3 linked regions of the Cricetulus griseus genome follow. The protein of the gene in region 1 interacts with the protein of each later gene in a biochemical or structural test. Links are inferred from orthologs where the notes say so. Each region holds a gene or a part of one and is shown on either strand. Other genes may lie near its edges.

Region 1 (3,647 bases):
TCATCTTGGGGAAGGGTTACTGCTTGGATTTTCAGCCCAATTTTACAAGACAGCACCTCTGTTATGAAGGTTTTTTGGATGGCGTTTTATCTAAAATATGAAGTAACACCACTGAATGGGAATTCATCTTCCAGCCAAATCAATTTTAATTTTGGAGTTGAACTCTAAGATTAATTTCTACTAGTAAAAACTACAGAGTCATCTCAGAAGAAAAGTAAATGTGTCAACATCTCTGGAACTTCCCTAAGTGTCACCATGATGTCATTTAAGTAAAAACAAAACAATAACAACAACAACAACAACAAACCCACACAGATATGTTGGAGGTAAACACTAAAATAACAACTTCTGGGCTATGAAAAACAATACTTTTATTTTCTTATTTTAAGTCAGTTTTCTTGGGGTAGGGGGAGGAATTGATGTGAAAATGCTCTAAGAGCCAATAGTTAATGTTAAATCTCCTGAAATCCCTCTAAACTCTGTGTTCAACTTTGAAAAGAGCCCAACAACTATATTTTCTACAGCTGTAGAAGCTGTAGCTTCTACAAGCATTTATTGATGGGTGAGTTTATTGATTTCAGAAACCGCTTTAAAACACCACCCACAAGCTTAAAGGGCAAGCTGGGTGTGCAAAGGGCTCCCCGGCAGAGACAGATACCCATGTGGTGGCTGGAGCCCAAACAATGCCTGGAAAGAGTAGCTTTCTAAAGAGTGCACTCTGGGTTGATCATTAATTATGCAAACCAGAAAAAGAAACCCACAAAACCCTCGTGTTCTTCAATGGTTCTGAGACAGCCCACATCATGGTGTCTTCCATTTCTGCTGCTATAAACGGTAAGTCAGGCAATGCACCCAAAGAGAGGGGGCATTGGCCATCTGAGGTGACTGGTAGGGCAGGTTTCATTTCATTTAATGTCACCAGAATCACAAGATTGCAGAGATATAAATAGCTATTTATTTCCTACTCTTGGGGCACCCATACAAGTCTTAGGTGTTCCAGAGAGGGTCTGAAGGTTTCTAGAGTCAGTGACAAGCCCTGATGCTCAGAAGTGTCCCTTTTCTGCTCTTAAGTGGCTCACAAAGTCTCCTTGAGCATCAGAATTGGAAGGAACTAGGTGTCAAGACTTTTTCCACCCTTGTGAATAAGGGAAGTGTCTAAAACATTCAAAATGTACTTGGCCATAGGCGTGGTGAGAATTCTAATGTGCAAGCTACTTTTAATATCCATTCAAACTCCATTTGAAAACGTTCAAAAATCATCTAAAGACTCAATGGACATTGGATGCATATTTCAAGTGTGTTGGGGCTTCCTTAAAACAGGGCAGTATCTCTAATTAGTAATGAAACTTTAAAATCAGATCAAATCCATGCAAGCTCAGAAATTCTATTGAAGTTGCAGGGGAGACAGAGCAATATGGTCCTTTGGGGCCATAGGAATTTCTCAGAAACCAGGGTTCAGAACCAGTGTTCCCTGGAAGCAGTTCAGGACCACCTGTTTTTGGCTAACCCTGAAAGGCAAACAGCATTTGGAAATGAAAAGTCTTTGTACTTTGTCTAAGCCTCTCTGTACTGTGAAGTATGTTGGCTGGAGGAGGAGCCTGACTACACATTCCTGGAAAGCTGGGTAGGTAATGATGTACATGTTAATGACTTCATTCAAATAGTGTTTGGCTAGCTAGTACTCCAGCAGAGATTTCTAATAGTGTTCTTTATTTACTGTGATATTCATACTGCCTGGGCAATGTTTGCTCCAGACCACAGGGCCTCCAAAGTAAGAGTCTAAATCCTCACCCAAGAGTCTAAATCTACCCAGAGGATAGATGCCACCTCCCTCGGAGCCTTAAAGGAAGCGCTACACTCACCTGAGAGCGCCAAGGCTTCAGCAGACCTTATGCTTGGCTCTATGGGGATTCCAGGAGCCTGGGACTCAGGTGGGGCACAAGCATAAAAGGTTCCTGTCACCTGGCAACCTGCATTTGCAAATGAAAATCAGATGATGTCTAAACAGAGAGTCCAAGTTCAGGGAGGCTCTTGAGTTGGGAGGAGCCACGCCCAGTCACCTTCCAACTCAAGCTTGAGAGGCTCTAAACACCCACTGCCAGCAGAGCATGTGACTAGGAGGCAAAGGCCAAATTTCAAGTTCAGTGGGAAAAATACAGGGTGATGGAGGAAGGAATGGCAGCCCAGCTCTGGATGGAAACATGGAGCTCCATCCATAACTTGTCAACAGGGAAACTGAGGCTCAGAAGCAGAGGGGTTTGCACCAGCCCACACAGCAAGTTCCCAGCAGAGCCAGGGTTCAAATTTATATAAGGATAGTTTAAAAAATGAATAAATTATCCAATCCTCATTGCCCTTTATAAGTTTTGGGGAAAATTGAATCATGCTCCCTGGCAGCAGAGAAGTTATATCATATTAAACCAAGAATAGCTTAAGCATGGATAAAATGTAGGTTCTGGGGGTGAGGGGGGGTGAAATTGTGACAAGGAAATTATTCCCAGAATAATATAAAAGGACCACACGAGTGGTGAACAGTGTCAAAACAATGAACTTGAAAGTCCTAAAAGCTTGTTTTATATCCAGTCTGGTGGTACAGGCCTGTAATCCCTGGTACTCAGGAGTTCAAGGCAAGAGGGTCAAAGAGCAATGGAGCCTGGGTAATTTAGCAAGACTCTCCCTTAAAATACACAGTTGAAAAGGGGTGTGGGGTGTAGTTCAGTGCACGTGCCTAAATAAATGCCTAATGATCAAAGCTTCACTGAACATTCTTCAGTGAAAATTTCTGTGTTCGGTTAATTGGTGTTTCTTCTGTGGGTGCTCATCTAACCTCTAGGGCATGTGTGCTGTGGGTCTTTTGGAACCTGGCACTGCTTTGCAGAGAAGTTTTGTGGATTACTTTTGCTCTGGTTATTCCTTAGTACCAAGAACAGCTACAAATGACTCAGCACTCCTCAAGGGACATGAATTAGCAATGATCTCCTGAAGTCTCTGCAGAGGTGGCCTGGGCACAGCTGTAGTATGGTCCCTTTACAGGAGAGTTGAAAGGAATAGGATAGGGAGATGGTATGGCTCTCCACCAGTAAGTAATAAGGGACAATTTAGAGGGAAGCCTGACAAAAATCTATCCCTCCATCCTAATATGACAAAGAAAGCATAATGTTATAGAGGGTGAAAACATGTTGACCAAATAATTGAAAGAAAAAGTAGACAAGTTTTATAATTGACATGTTTTGCCATTGGGCACTTATAAATAAATATCCATGCTTTTCTCTATTTATTGAAAATGGAGCAGGCATTTTTCAGTCTCTTGAAATGATTTCTGGGCTCCTTTAATTAATTTTCCACACAGAGTGATGCCTATCATGGCTCTGAAGACTTCAGCATCCTACAGGACAAGGCAAGATTCCTCCCCAGCCCCAAGCTTCGTGTGATGTCTCTCTGCATCTCTGTGGAAGGGGAAAGCCCTGTGGTGCTGCCTGGGAGGGTCACCCAGAGTTGCCCACACCCTGAGCCCAGGGTGTTCTTCTGCCTCCTTCCCTAGCACATTCCTTACCATTTTCACAAGATGGGCCTTGCCAGTGGTGGCTGCGGGGGCCAAATGTCACAGGACACTGATATGGGATTTCTGGATGTGACTGGTCAGGGGC
Region 2 (4,268 bases), on another chromosome or scaffold:
CTGGATCTTTGAAAGGCAGGAAACCTTTTTATGTTCCTGGGATTCAGCATAGAGTTTGGAGTTCACTTGACATTTGGAAGATGCATGCATGGATGGATAGATAGGTAGACTGGTGGGTAGACAGATCAGTGATAGTAAGTGGATGGGTGGATGAATGGGACAGACAGATACCATAAGTGACTAGGTGGATGGGTAGACAGACTGATGGATAGGGAGGTGGATGGATGGATGGAAGTGGAGTGGTAGTAGATGGATAGATAGACAGGGAGATAAATAGATAGGCAGACGAATGGATGGATACGTAGGTTAAGTGAAGAGATGGATATGTGTGTGGAAGAATGTATGTGCAGATGGATGCTGGATGAACAGATAGATGAGTAGATGCATGGCTGGTATGATGGGTCGAAAGATGAACAGACAATCAGAAAGAGATAAGGATAGGAAAACAGATAAAAGGATGAACATACAAGGAGGAATTATAAACTAGGAAGACTAAATGGATATCGACATTCCAGGGTTGGGGAAATTGAGAAATCTGGGCTGGGAACACTGTCTCTAGGGATCTGGACGCAGCTGTGGTACTTAGCTGGGAGGGGAGGATATGAAAAGCCAAGGCCATTCCCAGGCGAAGGAGAAGCCCACTTGAGGCACCAAGAAAAGAGATACAAGGTGCTAGTAGACCCAAGGTCTACTGTGGGCCCTGAGTGGTTTAGGTAGACCTAGCAGAGATTGCAAGGCCTACACGAAGAGTCAAGTCTGACAGCCTTGGGATTAAAGTCCTCCACCTTCCAGATTCACTCTAGAAATTAGTGACCCCATGCTGTCACTATTCTGACCCCAAAGAGATGACTCGGCTGAGAAGCAATTGGTATTATTGGACTGAAAGAATAGTGGACAACCTTAGAAGGCCTAGCGACTGGGCCAACCGAGGCCTTCCGTGGTTGTGCTAGCCTTTCTCCCTCCCAGCCCCAGTTTCCTCTGGGCAGGGGGCCTGGCCCCATAGCCTCCCAGGGCAGCCCTTTGAGCACCACCTGCCCCAGCCGGCCAGAGACTTCCTGTAGCGCAAGAGATTTATGCAAACGGGCTGGGGCGGTGATGTCACCCCAAGGGGACTATCTCCCAGTGGCAGGCCCTTCGATAAAATCAGGAACTTGTGCTGGCCCTGCAATGTCAAGGGAGGGGGCTCACCCGGGGCTCCTGTAGCTCAGGGGGCAGGCCTGAGCCCTGCGTCTGACCCACAACCGTCCAGCCCCCCGACGGGGCACCTGGTCCTGAGGGGATCCGCACTGATCCCCACCGAGGCAGGGGATCTGACCAACTTGGAGCTCAGCTGGATGTTACAGGCGTGCAAAATGGAAGGGTTTCCCCTCGTCCCCCCTGTGAGTACTGGGGCTTCATTACCTGCTCAGCCTGGGGCCCTGGGACGTGTGACCATCTGCCCACTAACCCACCAATTTACCCGCTCCTCTCCGGCTCCCTATCAGTGGGAAGTCGGTGTTTCCTCCCCGGAGCTGCTGGTCTGAGACCCAGCGAGGGGCCATTGGCTCCCTTAGAGCATGCCCTGGCGGGCTGAGGGTTGCCGGCTGGCCCCATGGTGGGGCTGTGATCGGTGGGGCCTGAACAGCTATTTATAGGTGGGGCTCAGTGGTAGGCCAAATGCTAGGACAGGGTACTGGGCTGAAGACGGTGAGGGCGGCTACTGGGAAGCCATGGATATGGAGATCTGAACTGGCCTAAGGGCCACCGGAGGCAACAGGAAAGGTTTCAACCCATGACCGGTGGACTCTTGAAACAAAGGCTGGTGGAACTCTGGGTCACTCATGGGTCCCCAACATTCAGTTTGGGGCCTGGCATAGAGGCATGGCTGTTGATCCAAGTATTTGGGCTTTGGGCCTACATGGACCTGAGAATCTGGGGCTGTGGCCAAGGCTGGGCAAGAGCAGAGCATACGGCAGAAATATGGCAGCTAGATTTGTGGCCAGGGCTGGGCTGAATAAGAAACTTAGTGAAGGGTGGGCCTGGGACCAGAATGAGACTGAGATTGGCGATGGAGGACCTAGATTGAGTATTCCACTGCGGTTAGGGTGGAACAAGACAGGGACACAGCAGGTGGGCAAATCTCCATTGTTTCTCCTATTTTCAGTGACAGTGGCAGCTTTAGGCAGATGGCAGTCACAGTGCCTTGAAGACAACCCTCTGGCTTTCTCCTGCCCTTGGAAGTGTTGGGACAGCAAGGAAGGGCTGAGCAGTGCCTGCCCACCTGACTCAGCTTTCCCGAATTAGAGGCAGATCTCTCTTCTACCCCACCCAACCTTAGAGCCCTAGGAGGCACCCCAGGCCTGACATCATAGCCAATGTCCTGCAACAGGGCCAGGCCCAGTGTGTTGCCAGGAAACCTAGGGAAGGGAGCCTCCCTCACAGTATAGTAGACAGGGCTGGCCAGACCTTCCTGTCCCCCCCCCCATCTTGATCTCCTTCTCCCACCTGGGATGGAGAAGGTGCTGGGGCAAGCATGGGTGATGGAAGTTGTCCCAGAGAGGGTCCACTCTGCCCCAAGTAAAGCCACTCTCCCTGACCCTTGACCTCTCCTTCCTGAACACCAGGCAGAAATCGGCAAGGGGAGGACCTTGAGCTCCTATACCAGCTCCTTAGGCCCTGTCTCCAGCCCCAGAGGCCATTCCAAGTGTCTCTTGAGTGGGTGGGCTCCCAAGGCAGCACTGCCCCACCAAGCAAGCCCTGACGGCCACAGTAACTATTGTGCAATCCTTGGGCATACTCTGCGGGGGTGGGGAGAAGCCGGATGACTGTCCGGAAAGCTCGGTGTGCATATCCCTGTGCCCAAGAAAGTGACAGAGGGTGGGGAAAGGAGGTGGAGGAGGCAGAGGGAGAAGAGAGGGAAGATAGAGGAGGGAGGGAAGAAAGGCAGGAAGGCGAGGACAAGGAGGAGGAAGATAGAGGAGGAGAAAGTAACAGGCAGGGAGTCTTCCATCAAAGACACTGAGGAAGAAGGGACAGTCAAGGCCCTCTGCCCCTTGACTCCCCAAACTGGCCTGGGTGACCTTTGTATAAGTAAATCATCAGCATGACAGTCATTGTAACAGTCCTGCGCCTGCCTAGGGCTGAACTGACAGAGGCTAACAGTGAGAGAGGAGTGGGCTGGGCAGACTGTAGCAGAGAGACACAATGCTGCATGCGAGAGTGCGGGTGGAATGTGGGTGGCTCTGTGAAAGGCTGTGTGGACCAACTGGTGACTGGAATTCTATGTGAGCATGTGTGTGTCAGTCTCTGTGTATGCCTGCAGGGAGGGCGCACAGTGGTGTATCTATGAGTGTGACTGGTCCTGAGAGTGGATGGAAAGAGTTGTGTGACATGTGGGGCTCATGAGAGGGTGAGCACAATGCCTGCATGTGAGATATAGACAGGAACCCAAGAGTGAATGTGTGCACATGTGAGAGCGAGCTCCCATATGGGTTTGTGTGTAAGTGTGTCACAGGGAGTGTTTGCACATTTGGGGGAAGGGTGCATGGCTGTGGATGGGAAAGAGCAACATGCCCCATAGGCATGAGTGTAAGTGTGAGGGTGCAGAAGAGAAGGGGGGCTGCACCCTCTTCTCAGCCCTGACCTGCTGACCTCTGACCTTTCAGGCCCATCACTGCCCCAACACACTCTCCTGATCCTCCCACCATCACCTTATCCCTGTATCCCTGGGCACTCTGGATTCTAAGCAAAGGCTGGGTTGTTCCCAGGTGCCTCAGGCAGGGAAGGTTGAGGGCTTCAAACTTAGCTGAAAATCTTGCTGGACTGTCCTCAACTGTTTAGGCTCTGATAACTTCCTGTCTCTGCAGCCATCGGAAGAGCTGGTTACTTACGAACCTGAACTATACCAACGCCAAACTCAAGACTACTACTCCTTTATGAGCAGTGATGGAGACAGCCACAGTGGTGAGTACAGTGTTCACCATACTCGTACCTCATCACAGCCTGGACTGGGTGATGAGCATGCCCGGGGCTAGAGAGAGACAACTCCTGAGGCTACTTTGAATTCTGAGAATAAGATGAAGGCAGCTGCCTCATCCCTGTATTATACAACTTCTGTCCCAGCCCTTATCACTGAACCTCTTCCCTGTGTCAAGGGCAGATTTCATTTCTTTCTCATTTACCTTGTCTGATCCTGTGGGACTTTTTTAAAAGGTAGATTTGTTTTCATACAATATGTTCTGATTGTGGTTTCCCCTTCCCTAACTCTCCCAGGTTCTCCCTACCTCCCC
Region 3 (3,647 bases), on another chromosome or scaffold:
CCCCACCCCCACCCCCCACCCCCACTCAGGAATAGACTTTTAGGGTCTTCACAGTGCCTCCATCATGACGTGGCCCAGAGAGAAAACTCTTCCATTCTGTGGCATTTTCTGGCATCCCTTAGTTTTGGTCTGGGGGCCTATCTTTCTTTCTTTCTTTCTTTCTTTCTTTCTTTCTTTCTTTCTCTCTTTCTTTCTTTTAGTGATTTGAATGATTCAGTCCGATTGTGTGCAAACAGAGCTCTGATTCAAAAAAATGACTTTGACCCATTAGAAAAGTAGTCTATTGCAAAATCTGGGTGAAATCACACAAGACCGTGTGGTACAGGACTGCTGCCATGTGCTGACTGCTTACTACATACCAGGCACAGTTTCACACTTTATGTGTTAACTATCTTGATCCGTCTGTCCAACATCCCTTTCGGGTGGGTAGGTGATATTTGTGTGTCTTTTGCAGATGACAAGCCTGTAGTTTGTTCAAGGTCTCACACCAAGTGACCCAACTATGGTGGAAACCCAGATTTCTTTTTTCTTTTGCTATGTAGCTCAGGCCAACCTCATATTCACTGTATAGCCCAGGCTGGCCTTGACCTCAAATGCCTCCAGCCTTAGCCTCCAGCCTAGGTCCAGAAATTTACCAGCATGAGCAGCCATGCCCAACAGGAGCCCTGTATTTCTGACTTTTCATATCAGTTACTGTATTTTCCTGTCTCCAAAATGAGATGGCTCAGGACTGAATCGGTTACAAGAACAGAGAGAGGAAATCACGTGCTTCTGCCCTTGGTGGTCGTTACGCACAGAAACCTAACCAATGCTAAAGTCATCTCTCCTGGTGCAGCACCTTCCCCTGGCTCCCACTTTAGGTCTTTTCTCTTTCCAACAAACAAAATATGGAGGGTGGGGAGAAGGTCATGTAACCAGAGAATACATTACTGAAGGGAACAGGACGTGGGACAGTTGTAGACAATCATTCCGCTGTAATGGACCTTTACCAGGCCCCCTTGAGGACAGAATTTAGCACAGTGGTTATGAGGGACTCCCATGCTAAACTGCTTGACTTAAATCTCCACTCTGGCTGGGTGGTGATGGTGGTGGCACACGCCTTTAATCCTAGCACTTGAGAGGCAGAGGCAGGTGGATTTCTGAGTTCGAGGCCAGCCTGGTCTACAGAGTGAGTTCCAGGACAGCCAGGGCTGTTACACAGAGAAACCCTGTCCTTCATCAGTCGTGTGGACCTCGGGAAGTCGCTTTCCTCAACATCCAGTCAATTGTAACGATGACCATGTTATATCCAGAGTTACTGTTATATCCAAATAAATTAGTATACAGAAAAGCCTGAAGGAATGTCCAAGGCAGTCAAGGTGAGTGGTTGCCACAGATGGGCCTTAGGTCACTTTGGTCCTCCACCATCGACATTCAGCTCTCAGCTCTGTGCTAGCTCCAGCTCAGCCCCTCCCGTACTCACCTCTGCTCTTCTCCACCCTTCAGGAGATCCTGTTGGGCCGAGGCTTCACTTTCTGGCAGTGGTTTGATGGTGTCCTAGACCTCACTAAACGCTGTCTCCGGAGCTATTGGTCAGACCGGTGAGTCCCTGACCCCAGGTGGCCACTCACCTGTACCTGTGTCTCCCTCGCCTACCCCAGTGTCCACATCCCCATCCGTGTCTCCTCCTTCACTCTGCCCAGGCTGATCATCGGCTTCATTAGCAAACAGTACGTCACAAGCCTTCTCCTCAACGAGCCAGATGGAACTTTCCTCCTCCGCTTTAGCGACTCTGAGATTGGCGGCATCACCATTGCCCATGTCATTCGGGGTCAGGATGGTGAGTCTCCACAGCCAGCCCTGACTGCTGTGTTCTCTTGGGCTTCTGGGGAAGGAAATGCCCTGGTGGTCCTTGATGTCCGCCTGATCTTTAGGAAGTTCTTCTTTAGGTCTGGCTTCTTGCCCTCCTATGGTCTAACCTTCTACTCCCATGGCAATGGAGATGAGTGGGTGTCCTTCACGCAAGACCTTCCAGGCTAGACCTTCTCTCATATGCCATGATGGTTGAGAATGGGACTTGTGTGGGGCTGGGGGAAGAGACGTTTGGACAGAGGAGACCTCAGGGTCTCGTTCCTCTTGTAGGCGCCCCACAGATAGAAAACATCCAGCCATTTTCTGCTAAAGACCTGTCCATTCGATCACTGGGAGACCGAATCCGGGATCTTGCTCAGCTGAAAAACCTCTACCCCAAGAAACCCAAGGATGAGGCCTTCCGGAGCCACTATAAGCGTGAGCGGGCGGTTCTGATCCCTCCTGTCACCCACTTTCTCCCTGTTCCAGCCATACCCCTCTTTCCGCCTGCTGCTGTTATTCTTGTCTTCCCTCCCATTTCTGTAGCCCCGCCTCCACCTGCCCATCAACCTTCCTCCTTCCCACCTCCTTGATAGTGTGACACACCATAGTTCTGTCCTTCCCACCACAGCTGAACAGATGGGGAAGGACGGGAGGGGTTACGTATCGACTGCCATCAAGATGACTGTGGAACGGTAAGTGCTATGGCGGGGGTAGCGGGTGGAGATGGGGACTGGTACTTGTATCTGCAGGAAGGAGTGGCAGTCACGTGTGCTTCTTCCTCTCTGTCAGAGACCAGCCTCTTCCTACTCCAGAGCCTCATATGCCCACCACAGTGCCATCTTACGATCTTGGAATGGCCTCCGATACCTCCATGCAACTCAGCTCAGATATGGGGTAAGAAGGTTGAGAGACAAGGAGGGGCCGGCGCCTGCCAACGGGGTTATCAGGGGAAGGACTTGCATCAGGGTCTGCTTTCTTTCCTCAGGTACCCTCCACCGTCTCATTCCATCCACTCATTTCAAAACCTCCCCCTGGAAGAGTCAATCAATGTACTTCCAGCCTTCCAGGAGTAAGTCAGACCCCATGGAGGGTGAGATGGGGCAGCATCCAATGGCCAGCACTTGCTGTGTGTTTGCTTGATAGCTGTGATGCTGGGGGTTGAGTTTAGGGCTAAGGACTGAATATATGCCGAGCGTGTGCTCTGCCGCTGAGATACATCCCAGCAGATGTGATTTTTTTTTTTTTTTTTTTTTTTTTGAGACAGAGTTTCTCTGTGTAGCTATGGAACCTATCCTGGCACTCTCTCTGGAGACCAGGCTGGCCTCGAACTCACAGAGATCCGCCTGCCTGGATGTGATGATTTTAATCTGCTAATCTTCATGATCCTAGAAACGGCCTAGACTTTTTTTCTTCCCCAAGTAGCATTAAGTTGCTTAATCAGCTCTGAGTCAAGGGCTTTTCTGTCTTCCTAGGAATTGATGTAGAGTGGGCCTGGGAAACAGAACCACAATTCAGTCTCAAGAAAACATTGGGCCGGGCGGTGGTGGCCACACCTTTAATCCCAGCCCTAGGGAGGCAGAGGCAGGCAGATCTCTGAGTTCAAAGCCAGCCATTTCTTCAGAAGTGAGTTCCAGGACAGCTAGGATGACACAGAGAAACCCTGTCTCAAAAAAAAAGGAAGTAAAAAAAGAAACATTGGTGGTTGGACACACACACCATTTCTCAGGGGAAAAATCTAATGTAGGATCACAGAAATGGCTTGATGAGGGAATGCTAGTCAGTGAAATGCCAAGTCAGGATAAGGCCTGGCAGCT

What was found.
Region 2: the proteins of Irf4 (region 1) and Spi1 are reported together in a solved structure, tested with the Homo sapiens proteins (2 studies listed by BioGRID, with this or other methods). The link is inferred for Cricetulus griseus from reciprocal best matches to the Homo sapiens genes IRF4 and SPI1.
Region 3: the proteins of Irf4 (region 1) and Stat6 form a complex in vitro, tested with the Homo sapiens proteins (2 studies listed by BioGRID). The link is inferred for Cricetulus griseus from reciprocal best matches to the Homo sapiens genes IRF4 and STAT6.

What each region holds. Positions count from the first base shown.
Region 1 is NC_048596.1:251,459,459-251,463,105, reverse strand, and holds part of Irf4 (interferon regulatory factor 4), read right to left. Parts: coding exon 3,554-3,647; intron 1,971-3,553; coding exon 1,863-1,970; intron 1-1,862. UniProt on the Homo sapiens protein: Transcriptional activator. Binds to the interferon-stimulated response element (ISRE) of the MHC class I promoter. Binds the immunoglobulin lambda light chain enhancer, together with PU.1.
Region 2 is NC_048599.1:85,659,775-85,664,042, reverse strand, and holds the start of Spi1 (transcription factor PU.1), read left to right. Parts: upstream 1-1,334; coding exon 1,335-1,383; intron 1,384-2,106; coding exon of another isoform or gene 2,107-2,109; intron 2,110-3,819; coding exon 3,820-3,942; intron 3,943-4,268. UniProt on the Homo sapiens protein: Pioneer transcription factor, which controls hematopoietic cell fate by decompacting stem cell heterochromatin and allowing other transcription factors to enter otherwise inaccessible genomic sites.
Region 3 is NW_023276806.1:130,086,752-130,090,398, reverse strand, and holds part of Stat6 (signal transducer and activator of transcription 6), read left to right. Parts: intron 1-1,485; coding exon 1,486-1,580; intron 1,581-1,682; coding exon 1,683-1,819; intron 1,820-2,121; coding exon 2,122-2,268; intron 2,269-2,461; coding exon 2,462-2,525; intron 2,526-2,622; coding exon 2,623-2,727; intron 2,728-2,818; coding exon 2,819-2,902; intron 2,903-3,647. UniProt on the Homo sapiens protein: Carries out a dual function: signal transduction and activation of transcription. Involved in IL4/interleukin-4- and IL3/interleukin-3-mediated signaling.